Anolis sagrei: one gene and its partner. The protein of the gene in region 1 interacts with the protein of each later gene in a pairwise test. Links are inferred from orthologs where the notes say so. Each region holds a gene or a part of one and is shown on either strand. Other genes may lie near its edges.

The links.
Region 2: the proteins of TNPO2 (region 1) and CAMK2D interact in binary tests that used the Homo sapiens proteins (3 or more experiments, as listed by UniProt). The two-hybrid records come from large-scale screens. The link is inferred for Anolis sagrei from reciprocal best matches to the Homo sapiens genes TNPO2 and CAMK2D.

Annotation. Positions count from the first base shown.
Region 1 is NC_090022.1:111,818,049-111,829,740, forward strand, and holds the start of TNPO2 (transportin-2), read left to right. Parts: upstream 1-5,581; 5' UTR 5,582-5,787; intron 5,788-9,579; 5' UTR 9,580-9,591; coding exon 9,592-9,690; intron 9,691-9,997; coding exon 9,998-10,073; intron 10,074-11,692. Other genes in the region: RING finger protein 11-like, read right to left, coding at 139-279. UniProt on the Homo sapiens protein: Probably functions in nuclear protein import as nuclear transport receptor. Serves as receptor for nuclear localization signals (NLS) in cargo substrates.
Region 2 is NC_090025.1:33,135,694-33,147,246, reverse strand, and holds the start of CAMK2D (calcium/calmodulin-dependent protein kinase type II subunit delta), read left to right. Parts: upstream 1-6,069; 5' UTR 6,070-7,129; coding exon 7,130-7,194; intron 7,195-9,654; coding exon 9,655-9,749; intron 9,750-11,553. UniProt on the Homo sapiens protein: Calcium/calmodulin-dependent protein kinase involved in the regulation of Ca(2+) homeostatis and excitation-contraction coupling (ECC) in heart by targeting ion channels, transporters and accessory proteins involved in Ca(2+) influx into the myocyte, Ca(2+) release from the sarcoplasmic reticulum (SR), SR Ca(2+) uptake and Na(+) and K(+) channel transport.

The DNA of each region.
Region 1 (11,692 bases):
CCCCCGGGGCTCCTCAGCCTCCACTGCAGGCCCCCAAGGGAAGGGAGGAAGGGAGGAAGGGGGACACTCTACCCCAGGGCCCCTCCCTCCCTCCCTCCTCCTTCCCTCCCGCACCCTCTTCCTGCTGCTGCTGCCTACCTGGTAGGGGGGCGGCGGGGCAGGGAAGGGCGGCGGGGCCATCGGCGGAGGGTCCCCGGGCCCCAGGCTGGCCCCGTCGCCCGTGGAGTCGTTGAGCAGCGACAGGTCATCCGCCGCCTGCGAGGAGAGGCAGCCCCCCATGCCCGCCCCAGCCCCAGCCCCAGCCCCCGCCCGGGGTCCGGGCCACCTTCCTCGGCCAGCGCCGGAATGGAGGAGGAGGAGGCGGCGGGGGAGGAGGAGGAGCAGCAGCAGCAGCAGGGGCGCCCGCGCGGCATGCCGGGAAGCGTAGTCCCGGCACCCAAGGACTCCGCGCTTGCGCACTGCGAGGAGACGCTTGGCCCAAGGTGGGGAGACGTTTAGAGAGGGAAGGCGCAGAGAGCGCCGTGTTCTTCGCCCTGAGCTCCAGGGTCACAGTCCAGTGCAGAAGGCACTCAGCCACGCCAGCTCCTTTGAAATCTATTTATTTATTTATTACTAGCTTATTTATGTATTCATTTACCTTATTTATATACCGCTGTTCTCAGCCCGAAGGCGACTCACAGCGGTTCACAACAAATACGAACAGCAAAAATTCAGTGCTACAGTATAAAAACAGTTAACAACCTAACATACACAATTAATAACAGTCACTACAATACCCATTCACTGTCGTCTCATCATCAAAAACATGTTCCAGATTCATCATCCATTGTTCCATTCCAGTGTTCATTAACCAATCATTGCACTAATTATTGGAACGCCTGCTCAAACAGCCAGGTCTTCACTTTTTGCGGAATACCATTAGAGATGGTGCTAGTCTAATGTCCGTAGGAAGGGCGTTCCACAGCCGAGGAGCCACCACCGAGAAGGCCCTATCTCTTGTCCCCGCCAGCCGTGCTTGAGAAGCAGGCGGGATCGAGAGCAGGGCCTCAAAGTCCTGGTGGGTTCATAGGCCGAGATGCGGTCGGATAGGTAGCTTGGGCCGGAACCGTTTAGGGCTTTAAAGGCCAACGGCAGCACTTTGAATTGAGCCCGGTAGCAGATCGGTAGCCAGTGGAGTTGGCGCAGCAGGGGGGTTGTATGCTCCCTGTGCTCCGCTCCTGTTAAAATCATGGCTGCCGAGCGTTGGACTAGTTGGAGCTTCCGAGCCGTCTTCAAAGGCAACCCCACGTAGAGAGCGTTGCAGTAGTCTAAATGGTCCGTCCTCGAAACCGCACCAGAATATTGAGTTGGCCATGGGGGTTCTCTGTGCCAAGTTTGGTCTTTATTGGTAATTGGAGGAGTGTTGCTATGGTCTCAGGAAGAGAGTGAAGGTACTGCAAGTCCCATCATCCATGGTCTATCCTCCTCCAAACTGCACCAGGATGTAGAGTGGGTCATGGGGGCTCCGTCTGTAATCCAAGTTTAGTTAGATCTAATGTTGACTGGGTTCAGTGGGTGCGGTTAAACTACTACTCCCATATGTAAGTCCCATCATCCATGGTCCATCATCCCACAGACGGTAGCAGGATGTAGAGTGCATCATGGGGACTATGTGTGCCATGTTTGGTCTTGATCTGTCACTGGTGTGGGTCACAGTGGTCTCTGGAAGTGAGTGAAGGTACTGTAAGTCTCATCATCCATGGTCCTGCCTCCTCCAAACCACACCAGGATGTGGATCATGAAAGGTTCTGTGTGCCAAGTTTAACCCAGTCATTTGTGGGCATCACAATAGTGTGTGGGAGGTATATTGGATGCATATACTGCAAATCCCATAATCCGTGGTTGGGATTCCCACCAAACTGCACCAGGACATTAAGTGGGCCACATTGGGTCTGTGTGCTAAGTTTAATCCAGGCTCATCATTCATGGGGGTTGTAGTGATCTCTGGAAGTAAGTGAAGGTACTGCAAATCCCATCATCCATGGCCCATCCTCTCCCAAACCACACCAGGATGTAAAGTGGGTCATGGGGGTTCTGTGTGCCAAGTTCAGTCCAGTTCCATCATTGGTGGGCATCACAGTGGTCTGTGGGAGCCAAAACAAATTGAAAGTACTGCAAATCCCATAATCCGTGGTCCATCCTCCCCCAAACCACACCAGGGGGTCATGGGGATTATGTATGCCAAGTTTGGTCCAGGTTAGTTATTTGTGGAGGTTGCAGCAGCCTGTGGAAGTGGCAGCCAATCAGAAAGCTGCCAAATACACCACCCACCACACACATACAAACACTGAATTTTATTATATACATATATTTATTATTTATTTCAAACATTTGTACCCCGTCCTTCTCAACCCCCAAGAGGGGACTCAGGGCGGCTTACAATTGGCAGCAATTAGATGCCAACATATACACCATAACAATATAACACAGATTCAATGTGTTAACATTAATTAAAACATTAAATTATAAAATACACATTTAAAACATTATTACAATAACAACTTGCGTTCAATTGAGAGACCCAGTCCAAAGCCTGTGCATTATCAATTCAAATACAACATTGCAAGTGCTGTTAAGCCAGCTGCCCAAACGCCTGGTCCCAAAACCATGTTTTGAGCTTTTCCCGAAGGAAAGGGGAGATGGAGTAAATCACATTTCCCTGGGGAGTGTGTTCTAATACATGGCATTTATCTATCATTTCTACAGGACCTGATGCACTGTACTGTTCATATTAATGTTACTAGAATACTAACTGGATGTCAGCTGTGACCAGCAGTGTTGCAGAATTCAAAGAAGCACGAATGGAGGGTGAAAGGGAGAAACGTGCCAAGTGGAAGGTGTGTCAAGCCAACCCTGACTGGGACCGCCTACCATCTGGAAATCGATGTCCTCACTGCAGGAGAACATGTGGATCAAGAATATGTTCCACAGCCACCTACGGACCCACTGCCAAGACACCACATCTGGAATACCATCTTCCTTAAGCTACGAGGGATTGCCTAACAACAACAACTAGAATAGTGAAAAAGGCAGCACCCTCAAACCCGTTCTCCACAGAAGGGAAGCAACATATTTGCAGTTGAAAGATAGCTTGTATTGCTTTAACACAGGCATAGGCAAACTTTGGCCCTCTGGGTGTTTTGGACTCCAACTCCCGCAATTCCTAACAGCCTACCGGCCAAAGTTTGCCATGCCTGCTTTAAAATCAAGGGAGAGTATCTTGGATTTCAACTCCCACAATTCCTAACAGCCTATGAGAATGATGCTGGGGAAAATGGAAGGAATAAGGAAGAGGGGCCGACCAAGGGCAAGATGGATGGTATCCTTGAAGTGACTAGCTTGACCTTAAAGGAGCTGGGGGTGGTGACGGCCGACAAGGAGCTCTGGTGTGGGCTGATCCATGAGGTCATGAAGAGTTGGAAGCGACTGAATGAATGAACAACGTATTCCCCAAATACATACTCCTACATGACTTCTCTACAGGATAAACTAGAAAAATAATAACAATAATACATTTTATTAATTATCTGCCTCTCCTGATGGCTCAAGGCAGGGTACAATAAATTGAAAAACAAATCAACATAAAATAAATTACATATATAAACACACACACATGAAAACTTATACCAAACACAGCTACAGAATTGCCATATAGTGGTAACAGAATGCAGATCAAAATTCATGGTTGAAAGTTAACTGGTTAGGAAGAGATGGGTCTTCAATTGCGTCAGGGGTCAGGAACCTTCGGCCCTCCAGGTGTGGTGGACTTCAACTCCCACAATTCCTTGAGGCTCGGTAAGCCTTTGGGGCAAATGCCGAGCCTCAAGGAATTGTGGGAGTTGAAGTCCACCACACCTGGAGGGCCGAAGGTTCCCCATGCCTGAATTGCGTGTTAAATTCCAACACTGTTTAGCTGTTTGAAGAGTTGGAAGAGACTACAAGGGCCACCCAGCCCAATCCCCTGCCATGCAGGAAAAATCACTAAAGAACTCCTGACAGATGTCCATTCAGAATCTTACGTATGCATGTATGCAGGCAGAACATTGCCTCTGACTGACCAAGGGGATCAAGTTCCCACAGCAAGATGGCCAGTTTTGCACAGGACACTTGAGGCATGATCCTTCAAACAAGGTAGCTTGAAGGGGGCAGATCTGTCCAGCTGTTTCCAAATCTTCTTCCGACTCTTTTGCTTCAGGAGCCAAGCAGGGCACAAATATCTGACATTGAAACCCATCTAACCTGTTCATATTGTATCACAACCATGTTTTTTCTAAAAAGAAGGAAAAGCTATACCTTTAAGGTCAAATTTTTGCTATTATCTTTATTTTTTGTAATCTTGTGGATTTGAGCTCCATTTGGACCTTACATCCACACTTTTGGGATGGGCCCCTGACCATTGCATTTGTTTCCCAGGACAGCTTTCCAAATTGTGTGTCAGGACACATTGTGTCAGCTGTTATTGTGCTATTTGTAAAAATGTAAATGAAAGGTTTTCATTAGGTATGTTGTGTCTCTATTCCTTCTTTGCTACAATTTATACGTGCATTCATCTCTCCTATAAAGGGTTGCCTGAACCTCTGCTTGGTTAGTACAACTGAATTACTGTGTCGCAAAATAATATATATCTAACAAATGAGAGCTGGACCAAAGGGAAGGCTGAGCGAAGGAAGACAGATGCTTTTGAACTGTGGTGCTGGAGCAAAGTTCTGAGAGTGCCTTGGACCGTGAGAAGATCCAACCAGTCCATACTTCAGGAAATAAAGCCCGACTGCTCATTGGAGGGAAGGATAGTAGAGGCCAAGATGAAGTATTTTGTCCACATAATGAGAAGACAGGAAAGCTTAGAGAAGACAATGATGCTGGGGAAAAAGGAAGGAAAAAGGAAGAGGAGCTGACCAAGGGCAAGGTGGATGGATGGCATCTTTGAAGTGACTGGCTTGACTCTGAAGGAGCTGGGGGAGGTGACGGCCGACAGGAAGCTCTGGCGTGGGCTGGTCCATGGGGTCATGAAGAGTCGGAAATGACTAAACGAATGAACATGTGTCACTAACGTGAAATGTGTTATCGAAGGCGTTAATGGCCGAAATCACTAAGTTGCTTTTAGTTTTCTGGGCTGTATGGCCACATTCCACATGCATTTTCTCCTGACGTTTCGCCCACATCTATGGCAGGCGTCCTCAAAGGTTGTGAGGTCACAACCTCTGAGGATGCCTGCCACAGATATGGGCGAAACGTCAGGAGAGAATGCTTCTGGAACATGTCCATACAGGCCGGAAAACTTACGGCAACCCAACATGAGATGCTTGGCAAGTTCTGCCCTGGGGAGCCAATCTGCATCTCTCCCCTTCTCTTTCCGCAGCAGGGCTCCACATGCGGAAGCAGCCCGCCCTGCTTCTGGGCCCCGTGGCCTGTCTTGAGGGCCAATGGCAGCGGGTGCGCCTCCCTGCGGTGACGTCACCCGCCAGCCTTGGCGCGCTGCTCACGCGGGCCAATGGGGTGGGGTAGGGGCGTGGCTACCGCCCTTTCCTTGGCGGCCACATGACGCACTCGGCCGGCGGTCGTGCCTCGACGTGCGCAAGCGGCTTGGCTCCTCCCGCTCCTCTTCCTTTTGCCGGTCACGTGAGCGGCAGGGACGGCGGCCGGCCCGGCTCATCGCCCGCGTGTCGCGTTCTCCTCCAGCTCGCCGCCCCCTTTCCGCCTCCGGAACCGACGCCGCCGCCTGGGCCTGGGCGCGCCGGGAGCGAGCGGGCAAGTACGGGGACGGGCAGGCCGAGGGGGAGGAGGAGGAGGCCCCTCAGCGGAGCCCCGCCGAGGGGGAGGAGGGGGAGGCCGGGAGTGAGGCGGGCGGGCGGGGCCTGAGGGCGGGGGTCGGGACAAAGAGGAAGAGGAGGAGGAGGAGGCCCCGCCGCCGGCGCCGCCGCACACAAAGGGGCCCGCGCGGCGTGGAGAGAGCGGAGCCGGCGCCACACGCGCGCCTTAGTCACGCACCAAGAGCCCCTGCTTTCCAAACAATAGGGAGGGGTCCGTTGTTTTTGTAAAAAAGAAGAAGCCCTCAGCCGCGACGGGATGCCGCCCCACACGAAGCGCCCGCTTCTCGGAGGCCTCCCGCCTTTGGAGGAGGGTGGGAGGGAAGGAAGGAGCCGAGCGCTGCCCTGGGCGACCGGCCAGGCCTCTTTTGTCCCGGGAGGCCCTTGATCGCGCGAGGCTGGTGTCACGTGCCCCCGGGGCCCCGTGGGGAAGCGGCGGAAGTGGCCAGGGGGGCGCCGGGGAGGGGACCTCGGGCTGAGCACGTGCGCTGCCCAGCCTCCGGCCCACGCGCTCATCCAGAGGGGCCTCAACTTTTCTTCCAGGAGTGACCCCCTTCCCGCCCATTTTTACCTGGCCTCAGGTATCTAGGACTACATCGCATGGGTCTAGAAATCAGGCGTTTACTGAAAACAAAGCAGCATTTGCAGTGCTGAGTTCCCTTTTGGTGGAGTACAGCTGAAGCATCTTCTGCAGAGTCCACTGTAAACACTGCGCCTTGTTGCTAAAAGATTTTTGGAAATGGTGGCGTTTAGAAACACTTTTCTGTTGCCAATTTTTCTTTTGAGCAAAGGGGGACCCCACAGGATCCACGGTTTAATAAACAGTGATTTACCAGACTAGAAATAGGAGCGCCCCCCCCCCCCCCATGGCCAACAGGACAGCTGACCGAAAGATCAGTGGTTTGAATCTGGGTAGCAGGGTAAGCTCCTGTCTGTCAGCTCCAACTTTCCATGTGGGGACATGAGAGAACCCCTCCACAGGATGATAAAACATCCATGCCCCACCCCTCAGGCAACAGCCTTGCAGATGGCCAATTCTCTTACACCAGAAGTGACTTGCAGTTTCTCATGTTGCTTCTGACACGAAAAAAGCCAGACTAGAATGGCCCTTTCTTGACATTAGCTGAGCATCCCATATCCAAGATATGCCCAAATCCCAAATTGTGCACGTGGGTGTGCATGTGGGTGACTGAGAAAAAGTCGCCTTTACTTTCAGATGGATCAGTGAAAATGTTTTGTGCACAAAATTATTGTGCATAGAATTACCTTCAGGCTATGTATATAGAATCAAAGTTGGAAGAGACCCCAAGAACCATCCATTCCAACCTTGTGCCATACAGGGACACCCAATCCAAGCACCCCAAACAGATGGCCATTCAGCCTCTGCTTATAAATGTCCACGAAGGAGGCTCCACCACACTAATGCTTTCTAATGTTTAGGTGGAATCTTTTCTCCTACAATTATTGTTGTTGGTTGTGTGCTTTCATTGTATCAGGAGTATGTATTGCTTCATTGTATCAGGAGTATGTATTGCTTCATTGTATCCAGAGTAGCAGAAAAGAAGCCTGCCCCCTCCTCAATGTGACATCTTTCCACATATTTAAACATGGCTATCAGGTTTCCTTCTCAGCCACTTTTCTCCAGACTAAGCATATCCAGTATAAGATGCATATCAGCCGAGTTTATCAGATGGTTTGGCGGGGGGGGGGGGGGGGGGTTGGACTGTAGTTTGAAAAAGACATGAGTGAATTCCTATTCACACTGCATGTATCTTATTTATAATGCCAAAAAATGAAAGAACAATAATTATTTTAAGTGAAGAACAATTTTAACCAACATGAACTTAACATTATTTTAATGGGAAGTGTGCCTGCTTTTGGTTGATGAGACAGTCAAGATGTTGTGTGCCTTCCAAGTTGTTTCACACTTAGGGTGACCGTAAGTCTAAAGTTTAGGGCTGGATCAATTTACTTGTGGGCCGCATTTGGCCCATGGGCCTTAGTTTGGGGACCACTGATGTATAAGAAACAAAACCTCACAACCTCTGAGGATGCTCGCCACAGATGCAGGCAAAACATCAGGAGAGAATGCTTCTAAAACAGTGGTTCTCAACCTGGGGTCCCCAAATGTTTTTGGCCTTCAACTCCCAGAAATCCTAACAGCTGGTAAACTGGCTGGGATTTCTGGGAGTTGTAGGCCAAAAACATCTGGGGACCCCAGGTTGGGAACCACTGTTCTAAAACATGGCTATACAGCCCGAAAAACCTACAGCAACCCAAATTTAGACTTGAGTCCCATTTCCAAGATACCCCCATTATGTAAATATTCTAAAATTAAAATAAAAGACAGAATACTCCTGGTCATTCCAGATAAAGAATACTTAACCTGTATTATTGCAACAGTTGGATTTTAACATTGAGATTGTGAATGATCCAAGGGGACTATATTTACAGTCTCTTGAAATTCAGAGAAGGAGCTACCAGTGGGGCCTCCACTTGCTTTTTCACTCTTCCTTGAGAGGATTTTTCCAAACTGAAGATCTTGCATTTCAGCTGGCAGTATGCTCCATTTTCTAGGGCTTACTAGCACACCAGTGAGCATATGGCTCCAGCCTACTATTAAGTCTTTGCATGGGGGCCCTTTAAGCTTTCGTTCTGATAATTAGACTCAGAATTAATTGGTAATTGAAGGTATTGAATTCAAAAGTAATACGCCTGTGGTACATTTATTGTAGGTAGTAGTTGCAATAGAAAATAAAAATTGACATAAAGGTTCTGATGACTTACTAAATTTAAAGTAGGCTAGTGACTTCTTTGAAGTAGCCGAATGCTTCCATAAAAGGGATATTCAATCTGCAATAAGATTTAGAAGGGATCACACAAATAAAGAATCTCAAAGGCCTGGTGAAAGGATATCTAGTTGTGTTGCTAATTGATATAACTGGCCGTATTTAAAACATGCCTATGTCAAAAAATGTCATAGATACAAAATATGCCATGCAGTATCTAGAGATTGGGAAATGCAACACATGCACAGCCCTGCAAGAAGATGTCTGGATTGCATGCGATACATGTTTAATAATTGCATTGTAGCAGACATACCTGCTCATACATAATTTTACTAGGTAGTTTCTGCAAACCTGATATAATCAGGAGCAATAATCACAACAACCTGATGGTATGACCAGCTGCTTAAATGTAGAGAGATGTAGGGTTACATATTCTTCTATTATCTATGGGAAAGACAAGACAACCTCTGCAAGTCCCTGATTAGCTTTTGACAAGTCAGTGCTGCAATGCTAAATGCTAATTTCTGTATTAATATATCTTTCTAGATCTTGATAGCAAAGTCCCCTGATATCTGTGGCATTTAAATCCCTTTTAATTTGTTGTATTCCTTTTCTTATCCAGGTTTATTTATTTATTTACCATATTTGTATACCGCCTTTCTCAGTCCGAAGGCGACTCAAGGCGGTTTACAGTCTGCAACAATTTAATGCCCCAATACCATAAAATACAATTAAAAACATTAGCATATAGGTTGAAGCAAGACAGTATTCTTTTTCCTGGGTTAATTGTTTTGATTGCATATAGGTGCAGTGTGTGAAGTTCTTTCTTGTTTGACATTGCCTGAAATACCTGAGTGGCATTCTGAAGGAAGTGGGTTTACTGTTGGCTGTGCATTTGATTCCAGTATTTCTTTTTAGATCACTCTTGTACCTTTTCCAGGTAGGCGGTTTCCATCATGGATTGGCAGCCTGATGAGCAGGGTCTCCAGCAAGTACTTCAGTTACTCAAAGACTCCCAGTCTCCAAATACAGCAACCCAGCGGATTGTACAAGACGTATCCTTGAAATTATTAAGGTTTCTATAGACATTTTTTCAGATGGTGTCAAACAAAACAAATTTCCATTTATAGGGAACTACAAATTACAGGGGAAAACAGCAATTGATAATACATTATTAGTGGGATAGGCAAATACTCCAGAGATTAGCTATGAAGTTATATTTTTGGGATGCAGCAAAAATCTATGCCTTCGTCTTTAAAACATTAGGGTCTCTTTTCTCTAAGGATTTGGTTTGAATTAAACTATTATGCAGATGTGGAATTTACCTGAATTTTAAGAATATTTTCTTAACTAGTATTTCAGAAACTGAAACAGCTCAACCAGTTTCCTGATTTCAATAACTATTTGATATTTGTCTTGACGCGGCTGAAATCTGAGGGTATGACTATTAAATATGTCACAACAAAATTTAACAAAAATGTCTGTGTGCATGTATATGTGCTGAGTTAGTATCAAGTTTTTATTATTCCCTAAATCTGTGGTCAAATTAAAGTTTTTCCCAAAAATGAATTTCTAAGAGCATTCTAGCCAGTTAGTGGCCTGAATAGTCCAGAAATGATCAGGCATGATTTAGTGTATTGAGAGGGGCTACTCAGCCCCTCAGGTCTGAGATGACAATTTGACCTGCTCTCAGCTGTGCTTTCTTGTGAAAAAGTGGATTGAATTCTGCAGCCTGCGGTGGTTAGAAAAATGCACTCAAAACTTGTAGTTGTTTTTGTTAGCTGTTTCTTGCGATTTTTGCCTTTATATTGGAGTTTAACCTAATTTGTTCAAGGAAGCAGTGCAAGGGTTAATCTGCAGAGCTTTTTGAAGGCAGGGAGGCAGTACTCTAATGAAAGGTCCTAGACAAGAGCAAGCTCATTGTACAAATGAAAATGAAGCGTTAAGGAATACTGAAGATAAAGGTGCCTTGTGACTATGATGACTAAAGATCTAGAGAATCTTTTTTTGTGTTTTAGTCATGTCCAAAGAACTGAAATAATTTGAATCCCTACACTTCTTTGTCTGTGCTGGGATTTGGTGAACAGTACTTCTTAATTCAAAATTGGCTAGTAAAATCAGGTCTTAATTGTAGATTTTTGTGACTGAGAATAAAGGATCTTTTAATTTACTTGCTAAAGGTTTTGTGTAATTGAAAAGTTTATATTGCATACATTTTCAAAATAATGTCACTTCATTTATTTAATGATTCCTGGTTCTTATATAGCAGTTCTGTCTTTTTTTCTTTTTCTTTTTAATTGATACAATATAAGAGAAATAGGGCAGGGATGGGGATTAGAGTAAGGAAGTTACATGGAATAGAATGGTATTCCCGTGGTGGATAGTAAAATGAAAAGTGATGAAAAAAGAAAATGGTAATGCTGAGAAAAATCAAAATCAAAAAATTGTGGCAGTTCTGTCTTGTGTTTATTTCTACAGAGTTTGCTCCAGTAAAAGGAGCCCAGGCAGAGATGGGCTTTCTGAATTTTTGGTTTCTTTGGGATAGGGGCTTCATTGCAGTTCTGTTTGTTGCTTGTTATGAGAATGCAAAAGCAATGTTTGTTATTATTGGTATAAGTTGCAACATAGGTAAACAACTGTCAAAGGCTAGAGATCTCTGTGGGACCTTGGAGGACTGCACCTTCACCTGAAAAAAATCTAATCCCCCTTTTGGGAATATAGAGGCATTCCCCAAATTTTCAAGGCCTTTATTATTCTTTATTATTGTGCTTATTTATATCTCACGTTTCTCTCCATGCGGAGACTTAAAGTGACTCACAGTAAAAAGCATTACAATACAACTTAAAATATACAAATATTAAAACAGTATTAAACATCATCAGTATTTTTAAAAATGGCCTTTCTGCCCACATTGAGCGTGGACAGGTCCCCTAGGAGTATCTACTCTGTTGTAGTTCATTTTGACAAGGATGGGATACCAGTTTGCATCCTAAATAGTGTGTTATGGAATCATGACCCTGAAGCCTTTCCAAAGTGTAGTTGAATGCAAGAGGGTCA
Region 2 (11,553 bases), on another chromosome or scaffold:
GCTCTTATTTGCTCAGGAGTGTTGGTTTTCTTGCTTGTGCGTACCTATTAATAATTTGTTCAACTAAACATTTAAATACAGGCACCATAACTCTTGGAACATCTGTATCTGAAAAAGGAAATGTGCAAAGATTGTTGTAGCAAAGAGGAGCACAAAGCAATCTGTATGATGGCCTTCTAGTTCCTATTACCAAGAAATAGAATTCCCTGCCAAGGAAGGTTAAGATCTATTTAGTATCCTTATGGTATCTTTTTATTCAGACAGTTGGCTGACTTTCAAGAAATTGACTTTTAATGGATTGATTCTTTCTTAAAATTCGGGTTCCAATTGTATATGACAGGTTATTCATCACATTATTACAAAAGCTAGCTTTTATAGTGCTCTGTGATTTTCTATTTGAGATACTGTTTTATACAGATCTTTTGCTACTGTATTTTATTCACATAGTGTTACTTTTCTAGTGATAGTTTGTTACTGTATTTTTATTCCTACTGCAACACTGCCATAAGGGTTTTAAGGACAGGGAATAAATACTATATATATTACTAGGGTTTACATTCTATAATGGTATCTTATTCATGAAAATAATTGATAGTTTTAGGATTGTTGGACTACAACTCTGGAGACCAGGGTTCAAACTGGGTGACACTGGGCGATTCACAAACCCTTGATCTCAGAGGAAAGTAAAGGCAAACCCTCCATGAGCAATTCTTGCAAAGACCCCACCATGACAGATTTGCTCTTAGGGTTGTAATATGTCAGAAGTGGCATGAAAGCACATATCAACAATATATTTTCAGAAAATCATATATTTCACTTCCAGTTTTTCTTTAATATCAACCACATTACAAGGTAAACAATATCCAGGGGAAAATCTAGCTGCTTGTAAGCCAGCATACCCTCCTAAAAGCCACTAGTGAAGTCTTTCTTTCATAGCATGCTTTCTTCTCTTTGGTGTCGGTTTATGCCAATGATGAGCTAAGTAAAGTACCCAGATACAGTTACACAATGAAATTATACACATGCCTTTTTCCAATTAACCCACATTAATTGGAAGACATGGGCATTTATTGCTTCAGAAATTATATTCATTGGTTTAATTATATTCTATATACCTATCCCTGCTTTGCATTATAAATCAGTTTATATATACTTCAGTAAGAATATGAAAGAATGTCTCCCTTGAGTTAAAAACTAACACTGACATGCTGGTGATGTCTGGACTCATAATTTGAAAATTAAAATCATTTATCTTTACAATGAACCATGCAACCACAAGCTCATTGTGTTTTGAAATTGGAAAAATATCCTGAACTAAAAGAGGTGGGGTGGAATGTTATTATTTTGCAATTACTTGATTCTTTGTTTATGGAGACTGAGGCAGAAGATTAGATTACTGTTTCCGTTATAAATGGGAAGAAACTCAATGATGGCATGCAAACACACATACGAATTGGAAATAATAAGTCTGTTCAGTATTTAAATAACTCAAACTTCCTAATGCCGCAACGCCTTAATACAGTTCCTCATGTTGTGGTGACCTCCAATGATAAAATTATTTTCGTTGCTACTTCATAACTGTAATTTTGCTTCTGTTATGAATTTTAATGTAAATACCTGATATGCAGGATATATTTTCATTCATTGCACCAAATTTGGCACAAATACCCAATACACCCACATTTGAATATTGGTGGGGTTGTGGGGTGTGGTGGTTGATCTTGTCATTTGGGAGTTGTAGTTGCTGTGGTTTATAGTTAATCTACAATCAAAGAGCATTCTGAACTCCACCAATGGTGGAATTGAACCAAACTTGGCGCAAAGAACTCCCATGACCAACAGAAAATACTGGAAGGGTTTGGTCTCTGACCTTGAGTTTTGGAGTTGTAGTTCACCTACATCCAGAGAATACTGTGGACTCAAACAATGATAGATCTGGACCAAACTTGGCACAAATACTCAATATGCCCAAATGTGAACACTAGGCCTGGGTAACAACGCAAAAATTTGTTTCTAAAATTGATTCGTTTTTGGGGGGGTTTTGCGTTTTGTTATTTAAAAGAATTACAAAATTTTCCTTTAAAAGGGTTCGGTATTTACGAAATTTCGTTATTATTAACGAATCGATTCGTTAAGATGGCAGACCCCCCCCCCCGCGCGCATGCGCAAATCACTTTTTTTTCTTTTTTTAGAATATTTTTTGATTTTTTTTAAGAATAAAAGAAATATTTATCAGAAATATTTAAAAATGGAAAATTAACAAAATGCTTGCCCTGTTGTGGAGCAAACACAGCCGCAGGACAGGGACAAACACACACACAGGCACACAAGTTTTTTTTCTTTTTTTAGAATATTTTTTGATTTTTTTTAAGAATAAAAGAAATATTTATCAGAAATATTTAAAAATGGAAAATTAACAAAATGCTTGCCCTGCCCTGTTGTGGGGCGAAAACAAGGCAAAGCCTCCCCGCTGCTCCCAGCCCAGGTCCTTAAACCGCCCTCGCTCTCCCAACAATGAATGTGAATGAATGAATGAATGCAAGCAATGAATGAATGCAAGCAAGCCATGCCTCCCTCCCGCACCTCCCGTCTCCTCGCCTTCGCAATGAGTAATGCGGCCATGCGGAGCCGCTTTTAAAGGGCAGCCCGCCCAATCACAATGAGCCACGGTGCTTGGGAGCGCCGGATTGGCTCCCGGCGCACCCAGCATCCTCCATCCCTAAAACGTCATTTCCGAAACGGGCGGAAGCTCGTAAAAAAGATGGAGGATAGCCGTTTCGATATTTAAAAACACTTCCGGGTTTGAAAATAAGTTTTGTAATCATTTTGTAATTGTTAAAAATAATGAATATTTAACAAATTACAAAATTAACGAACAAAACCGCCCAGGCCTAGTGAACACTTGTTGAGTTTAGGGAAAATAAAACTTGACATTTTGGAGTTGTAATTTCTGGGGTTTATAGTTCACCTACAAAGAGCATTCTGAACTTCACCAATGATAGAATTAGGCCAAACATTCCTCACAAAACCCTCATGCCTTGAAGGGACTCACTGGTGCAAGCCTCCCTCCAACCTCACATACTTTCCCTCTCCCGCACATGTGCACCACGCTGCCATGCACCGAACACGCCTGCTCCCCCCTCCTTGTGTGGAGTCTCAGAAACAGCTCTCCCCTTGGCTGAGAGGCCAGCCAATCACAGCAGGGGGGGCTTATGGTAGGAGGATTTGCCATCTGTTTCCAAAAAGGAAGAAAAGGATAGGTGGAAAGATCTTCGGCCTTCTCTGCCAAAGGTGTTCCTAAGACTATCAGAAAGATACCCCATTCCCCCCCCCCCTTTTTTTCTTCTTCTCCCTCTCCCTTGCCCTACCTCTCACATGTGTTGTAACTCTTTTGTATTTTGTATACGTATTTAAAATCAATAAAAATTTAATAATAAAAAAAGAAAGATATATGTTTTCCGATAGTCTTTGGTGACCCTTCTGAAATCCCCTCATGACCTCCCCCCCCCCCCCGGGGTCCCGACCCCTAGGTTGAGAAATGCTGGTCTAGCTTGACATGTACCACTATGAAACAACATCATACATGAATTCTGACAAGAATTTAATGTTACAGATTTTTGAGTAGTTGTTTTTCGGCCATGGTTAACTTCTCAGTTTATAATTATAGTTGTCAACAGTTATATCTTTGAATTTTGATCTGTATTTTAAATGTCTTCATTTGAAATGCTTTGATGCAATGAAAACTTAAAATACATATAATCAGGATTGAAAAGGGACACTGAGAAATAAGAGGGTGGCATCAAAATGTTCAGGAAAATCATGAGGTTTACAGATACGCATGCCTAAGAGTGCAATACCTAATCACTCCAAAACCCCATTGCATTCAGTGAGGATTGTTAAAAGTGTGCACAGAAATGCAACCTCTCAATGCAATCCTTAACATGACAACTATCTTTGAGCCAGATAATGGAGTGACTTCCAGGGTGGGTATGAGAGCCATATTTAAATATTTGAAAGGATGCTATATTGAGGAAGGGGCAAGCTTGTTTCCTGCTGCTCTGAGACTATTATTATTATTATTATTATTATTATTAACTTTATTTGTACCCCGCTAGCATCTCCCGAAGGACTCGATGCAGCTTACAAACGCCAAGGCCTCAAACTCAACATAACAATACAAACCTAAAGCAAATTAAAAACAATTAAAGCAATATTAAACAGCAAAACAACAAGCAATAAACAATACACCAAAACACAATAAAACCTGGCCGGGCCAGAGTAAAGGGTACAGAATTAAAAGTGCTGATGTGACAGGTGATATGTAAGGATTATTGGGTAAGTGCAATGTGCAGAGTGCGGCAATCTTAGTTCTAATAAAGTGCTTCTGGGACTTGGTATTGGAGATTTCCTATTCTGGGAAGGCACATCGGAACAGTCAGGTCTTCAAGTTCTTTCTGAAGACTGCCAATGTAGGGCCTGTCTAAGATCTTTGGTGAGGGTGTTCCAGAGTCGGGGGCCACCACGGAAAAGGCCCTGCCTCATGTCCGCACCAAACGCACTTGCGACGCAGGCAGGATCACGAGGAGGGCCTTTCCAGATGAATGGAGAGAACGCGTGGGTTCGTAGACGGAGATTTGGTCACGCAGGTAGGGTGGTCCCAAACCGTTCAGGGCTTTGTAGGTAAGCACCTGCACCTTAAATTGGGCTCGGAAGATAAACAGCAGCCAATGGAGCTCCTTGAACAGGAGGGTTGACCTCTCTCTGTAAGGAGCGCCAGTTAACATCCTGGTTGCTGCTCGTTGGACCAGTTGAAATTTCCGAGCCGTTTTCAAGGCCAGCCCCACGTACAGCGCATTACAGTAATCCAATCTAGAGGTGACCAAGGCATGGACCACCCCGGCCAGATCAGCCTTCGCAAGGTACGGTCGCAGTTGGCGCACGGGTCTTAATTGTGTGAAAGCCCTCCCAGACACCGCCGACGCCTGAGCCTCAAGTGTAAGCGATGAATCCAAGAGGACTCCCAAACTGTGGACCTGTGGTTTCAGGGGAAGTGTAATCCCGTCCAACACAGGTTGCCACCCTATACCCCGGTCAGGTTTACGATTGACCAGGAGGACCTCTGTCTTGTCTGGATTGATCTTCAGCTTGTTCCTCCTCATCCAGATAGACACAGCGGCCAGGCACTTGTCCAGGACCCGGGAGGCCTCCTTGGAATTGGGTGGAAATGAGTAGTAGAGTTGTGTGTCATCTGCATAGAGGTGGCACCTAACTCCAGACTAGGACATGGAGAAGTGGATTTTAATTGCAGGAAAAGATATTCTGCCTGAACATTTAGATCAGGGGTCCACAAACTTTTTAAACAGAGGGCCAAGTCACAGTCCCTCAAACTGTTGGAGGGCCGGATTATAATTTGGAAAAACATGAATGAATTCCTATGCACACTGCACATACCTTATTTGTAGTGCAAAAACCACTTAAAAGCAATACAATAATTAAAATGAAGAACAATGTTAACAAATATAAATTTATTACTATTTCAGTGGGAAGTGTGGGCCTGCTTTTGGCTGATGAGATAGGATTGTTTTTATTGTTGTGTGCTTTCAAGTCGTTTCAGACTTAGGTTGACCCTGAGCAAGGGCCGGGTAAATGACCTTGGAGGGCCATATCCGGCCCCCGGGCTTTAGTTTGAGGACCCCTGATTTAGATCAATTTGACTTGTTAATATTTAAACATTAGGAAGAATTTCTTGACAGCGAGAGCTGTTCAGCAGTGGAAGATGCTGCCTTGGAATCTGTGCCTTTTTTCCCCCCTTTGGCAACTGCATTCTTCCCTCTTCACAAGCTCTCTTACAAGCAGCATCCCAACGACGCCTTCTCCTTAAACCAGGTTGGCAACAGTCTCGCGAGAGTTTGGAAGTGGCGCTTTAATTTCCTCCCCCCCCCCCCCTCCCCGCTGCTGCGTTTCCACCCAGAGAGTGGCTGAGCGGGCGCGCGTGTCGGGTTGTGACGCCACCCAAAGCAAAGGGGAGGGAAAAGGAGGGAATCACCCCGGGGGTGGGGCTCCTTCCTCCTCCCCTCAAAAAAGGAAAGGGAGGGGAGATGATGAGGTATCCCGAAAAGCCTCTTTCCTCTTCAGAGGAGCATTTCCGAAAGCCAGGAATGTGTAGACTTATTGGTCCACACAAGAGCAACCAAAATAGAAAAGAGCCGTGAAATCAAGGGAGAGCCCTTCCCTTGGTGGGTGCCTGTGAGACGGCCACCCCCTTCCCAAACACCCGTTTAGGGAGGCCAAAGGATTTTGGAGGGCTGGCGAGGACGTGGAGCTCTCAAGGACTGCGCTCCGTGTGTGTCAACAGAGGCTTAGAGGAAAGGGAGGGAAGGAAGGAAGGAAGGAGGAAGGGAGGGAGGGGAAAGAGCGGGAGAGGTCAGGCGGGCAGCGCGCCGCTTTCCTGCCCAGCGCTCCGGCGAGAGGAAGAGCCCGGCTGTCGCTAGAGGGAGGTGTGGGACCGAGAGAGGAGGAGGAGGAGGAGAAGCTGGAGCCTGAGGAAGGGAGGGAGGAAAGAGGAAGACAGCGAGGAAGGAAGGAAGGGGCTGCTGGTCGCCAGCCTGGCTTGACCTGAAGCGCAGAGTGGCTTTGCGTGGCCAGGCTGGGCGTCGGGAAGGGAACTGCGCCCAGGAGGGCATCCCAGGTCGCCTCCAAAGGGACACTTGTCGCCCTCGCTTCCTCGGCTCCAGTCCGCCGCCTCTCTCTCTCTCCCTCTCTCTCTCGGGACGGATAATTATTAAGCCCGTCACGGTTGCCGTCGGAGTTGCTGCTGCTGCTGCTGCCGAGACTCGCCTCCTTCCCAGCCCAACCCCGAAAAGAAGGGGAGAGGGAGGAAGTGTGGGCCCTCCCTTCTCTCCCGCCCTCCTTCCGCCCCGGGGACGCCCAAAAGGAGCTGCCCAAGAGGGGGCGGGCAGAAGGGCTCGCCCGGACGACGACGCCGAGGACGAGGCAGCCCAGGCGGCGAGGCAAAGGCAAGGGAAGCGGCCGCGCCTTCGCCTTCCTCTTCCCGCCGCCGCCGCTCCTGCTGCTGCCCAGGCCCCCTTCGCTCCGCCGCTTCCTCCCGCCGAAGCCCCCCGCGCCCGCCATGGCCTCCACCGCCACCTGCACCCGCTTCACCGACGAGTACCAGCTCTTCGAGGAGCTCGGGAAGTGAGTGGCCCCGCGGGGAGAGGGAGGGAAGGAAGGAAGGAAGGAAGGAAGGAAGGAAGGAAGGAAGGAAGGAAGGGGGAATGCAAGGAGGGAGGGAAGAGGGAAGGAAGGAAGGGATGCTGGAAAGGAAGAGAAGGAAAGAGGGAATGTAGGAGGAGAGGAAGGAAGGAAAGGGAAAAAGGAAGGAACGCAGGAAGGGGGGAAGAGGGAAGGAAGGGATGCTGGAAAGGAAGAGAAAGAAAGAGGAAATATAGGAGGAAGGAAGGAAAGGGAAGAAGGAAGGGATGATGGAAAGAGGGAAGGAAGGAAAGGAGGGAAGAGGGAAGGAAGGGATGCTGGAAAGGGAGAGAAGGAAAGAGGGAATGTAGGAGGAGAGGAGGGAAGGGAAGGGAAGAAGGAAGGGGTGATGGAAAGAGGGAGGGAAGGAAGGAACGCAGGAAGGAAGGGGGAAGGAAGGCATGCTGGAAAGGAAGAGAAGGAAAGAGGAAATGTAGGAGAGGAAGGAAGGACATGGAAGAAGGAAGGGATGATGGAAAGAGGGAGGGAAGGAAGGAACGCAGGAAGGGAGAGAAGAGGGAAGGAGGGGATGCTGGAAAGGGAGAGAAGAAAAGAAGGAATATAGTAGGAGAGGAAGGAAGGAAAGAAGGAAGGGGTGATGGAAAAGGAGAGAAGGAAAGAGGGAAGAAGGAATGTAGGAAGAGAGGAAGGAAAGGGAAGAAGAGGTGAGGGAAAGGGAGGGAAGGGAAAAGGGAATATAGAGGGAGAGGAAGGAAGGAAAGGGAAGAAGGAAGGGATGATGGAAAGAGGCAAGGGGGAAATGGGTCCGTTTTGAGGGCTGGGAGGCCAGGCGCGCATGGGCTGGATGTGGGCCTTCATCCCCTTCCAAGGGAGGGGTGTGTTTGAAGTCCGCTCCGTGCCTCGGCCCGCCCTTGGCCCAGGGTCATTGGCAGCATCTCCTCACGGGAGAAGGGAGCCCACCCCTGGGCAGCTCCAGCCCAGTCCCCGCGGAAGAAGGGCGGCAGAAAGAGGGGGAGGCGGAAGGCCGAGGTGCCGGTGGGGAGGGAGGGAAGGAAGGAAGGAGGCGCAGCTGCCCCCATTCCGCGGACGAAGCCGGCTTTCCGCTTCAGACGCTCGAGGTGCCACGTTTACCGAGGCAGAAAGTTCAGCGCTCTCAGGTCGAGCGACTCCTCCATGCCGAGCTTCCCTTCCACTTCCTCCCTTCACAGAATTCTGACAAGAATCAATCAGGGCTAGCTAGCACCTCCCAACAAAGGATTCCCCAGGCAGCAACCAGCCAGTCTTTGAAGCTGCCAAACCATTGAATGCTAATTAAAGTGGCCAGTTGCTACATTCACACCTGCCTCAAGAAGAGGAAAGTTCTTTCTCCCACCCTGGGCATTGCACAGATATATAAACCTCACTTGCCTAGTTTCCAACAGACCCCTCAACCTCTGAGGATGCCTGTCATAGATGTGGGTGAAACATCAGGAGAGAATGCTTCTGGAATATGGCCATACAGCTCGGAAAACTCAGAGCAATCCACAAAATCCTTCATCAGATGAGTTTTGGGATTTTCTCCCCTTCTCACCTGTCTTGGGTGGGAATGGAAGAAACTGGGGCGTCCACAGGAGCGAAGGGAATGGGCCTCTGGTTCACATGCATGGCTCAAGTAGGAATGCCCATTTAAGTTTTCAAAATAATAATAAAAAATAGCGACAGAAATCAGTGTATGGCATAAGACATCATCACCTCCACTGCCTGTTGTGATGGGAAAGGAGCGCTTGGGATTCAGTACACTGACCTTGCTTTCCCTTGTGTTTTCATATATATGATCCCCAAAGTGTAAAGTCAATTCTGGAAATAGAAAAGACCTCAAAATGTTTGCCTGATGCCACCAAGGTAGCAAATGTGTTATACACAGCCCTCCGAATTCCAGGCTTCTTTCTCAGCCAGGGCATTGTAAATGAATGCTCTGGCTCCCAACCGTTTCTATTGAGATTTATTGCATCCTACCCACTCCAGCGAGACTAGAGTGTTTACGCTTAAATAAACACAGAATGCCATGTTTACAGGATGAGAGGAGGGCCTTTTATTTACTCAGTGCCATTTTTAAAGGGGGGAAAAGGCCATTCCATCACAGGAATGTATATATATCTAATGGCTTTGGCAGAAAAAGCTGAGAAAGATGTATACCACACCTGTTATAAACCATAGCCGATTCTTGATGCCACTTGTAATGAGATGTATATATATTCACTCAGTTTAATAATAGGGCTCGTGCTTACATCTCAGACATAATCTACTGTTGCAGTCCATATCAATTAAGGTTAATGTTGTGTTCATTTCCCTGCCTTCTGTATCAACACTGCTCAAATTGACATCTTCACCGATTATTGGTCCCTTTCTGAAGGAGCAAAGTCCCAGCTGACACTGATATTTCTCTGATTTATTGATTTGCAGGGGGGCTTTTTCTGTGGTGAGAAGATGCATGAAAATCACAACGGGACAAGAGTATGCTGCCAAAATTATCAACACTAAAAAGCTGTCAGCAAGGGGTGGGTATTTACAGAGCATTATGTATTTATATTTAGCATGGATTGTTGTGTTGACTAAATGGAGGGAAAATGGGGACATCTCTCATCCTTTCCTCGGGTCCCATCCACACAGCTAAATAAAATCTCACATTATTTGCTTTGAGCTGGAATGTATGGCAGTGTGGACTCAAATAACCCAGTTCAAAGCAGATATTGTGCGATTTTCTGCATTGATATTCTGAGTTATATGGCTGTGTGGAAGGGCCCTCTGTGTATTTCTGTCTTTGGAAGAGTACATTTACCTCCCGCCCCCCATATTTCCATTCTGCTGCCTAGATTGCCTCCAGTGCTAGTTACATGAGCTGTTTAGAGTTGTCATCTTGATGTTAGATCTGTTATTACATTTTGAGGAAATACCTTTTTTTCCTCTTATCGGAGTTCTTACAGAAGAAAAGGAGGTCAAATCTTAATTGAATCACGCTCTCCTATTTTATTTACACATGATCTTAATTCATTGTGGCATATTTAACAGAGGGACCCTTGAGAGAGAGAAAATGATCTGCTTCACTCACATTTGGGGCTGAAAATCTGTTTCATTTCATCACATGATCTGTGAGCCGAGCCTGTATTTTAAATGAAGTGGGTTTGTTTTAAAGGAATGTATAGCATATCATTTTTCCTCTTTATGATTTCCAGATTTGCCCACTTACATTACAGTGTATATATAAGACCTATTTTTCAATATACAATGCTATAAGCAAGCTCTGCTGGAATTGATGGATGTTGTACAACATTCGGCTTCCCATTCTTTTCAGGGAGGCTTGTGCAGGAGAATTTCCCAATGGATTATGTCCCATAAACTATATGTTTGGGTAGTTCGACTAATGAAAGTAGTCCTTATGGTGGTATATTTGCTCTTGGTAAATCCACCCTGATGTGCTTGTATAGGGATGTTGAGGATTACGGATTATTCTCTGTTAACATCTGTACTTTCATGTTAATTTCTGGCCTTTTTGTGAGCACGGAAATGAATGGAACTGTTCGTTCAGTCTGAAGACCTTTCATTGGTGCCCTAATTTTTCTCTTAACAGATTGGCAAAAACCATAAGACAAGGATGTGCTTAGTTGAGATCATATTTTTATAGGCAAAGTTTATGAGTGTGTTGTTTTTGCATGCACTGTGAACTAGATAGTGGAGCTCTCACAGTTTAAAAGTCTAGTGTTCTTAGGCTGCCTTCTAAAGCCTGGGATTGACAGTTTGATCTAACTCAAGTTTACTCGTGAGAAATTAAATGGGAAATGCAGCCTAATACGGTACAACATCAGGAGTAAGTTGCTTAGGCTCCTTCTATACAGCTGAATTCTCACATTATCTGCTTTGAACTGGAATATATGGCAGTGTGGACTCAGGACCCTTCCATACAGTCTTATATCCCAGGATATCAAGGCAGAAAATCCCACATTATCTGAGTGGATTGAGATAATCCAGTTCAAAGCAGATATTGTGGGATTTTCTGCCTTGATATTCTGGGTTATAGGGCTGTGTGGAAGTGCCTTCAGATAATCTAGTCCAAAGCAGATATTGTGAGATTTTCTGCCTTGATATTCTGGGTTATATGGAAAGACCCTGAGAGATAGAAGGAGATCCACTAGGTCGATTAGGAGGCATTTCCAAGCAATTGTGATTTGTGTGTATCTTTATAGCTCTGTGTGTTTCTGTTTTGGCTGTTGTGCACAGCGAAGGATGCTGTTGCTTTTTAACTTCTCACATAGATTTAAGGGTTTTGTTTTAATTAATCCACATGGAAATGTTTGAACATTTATG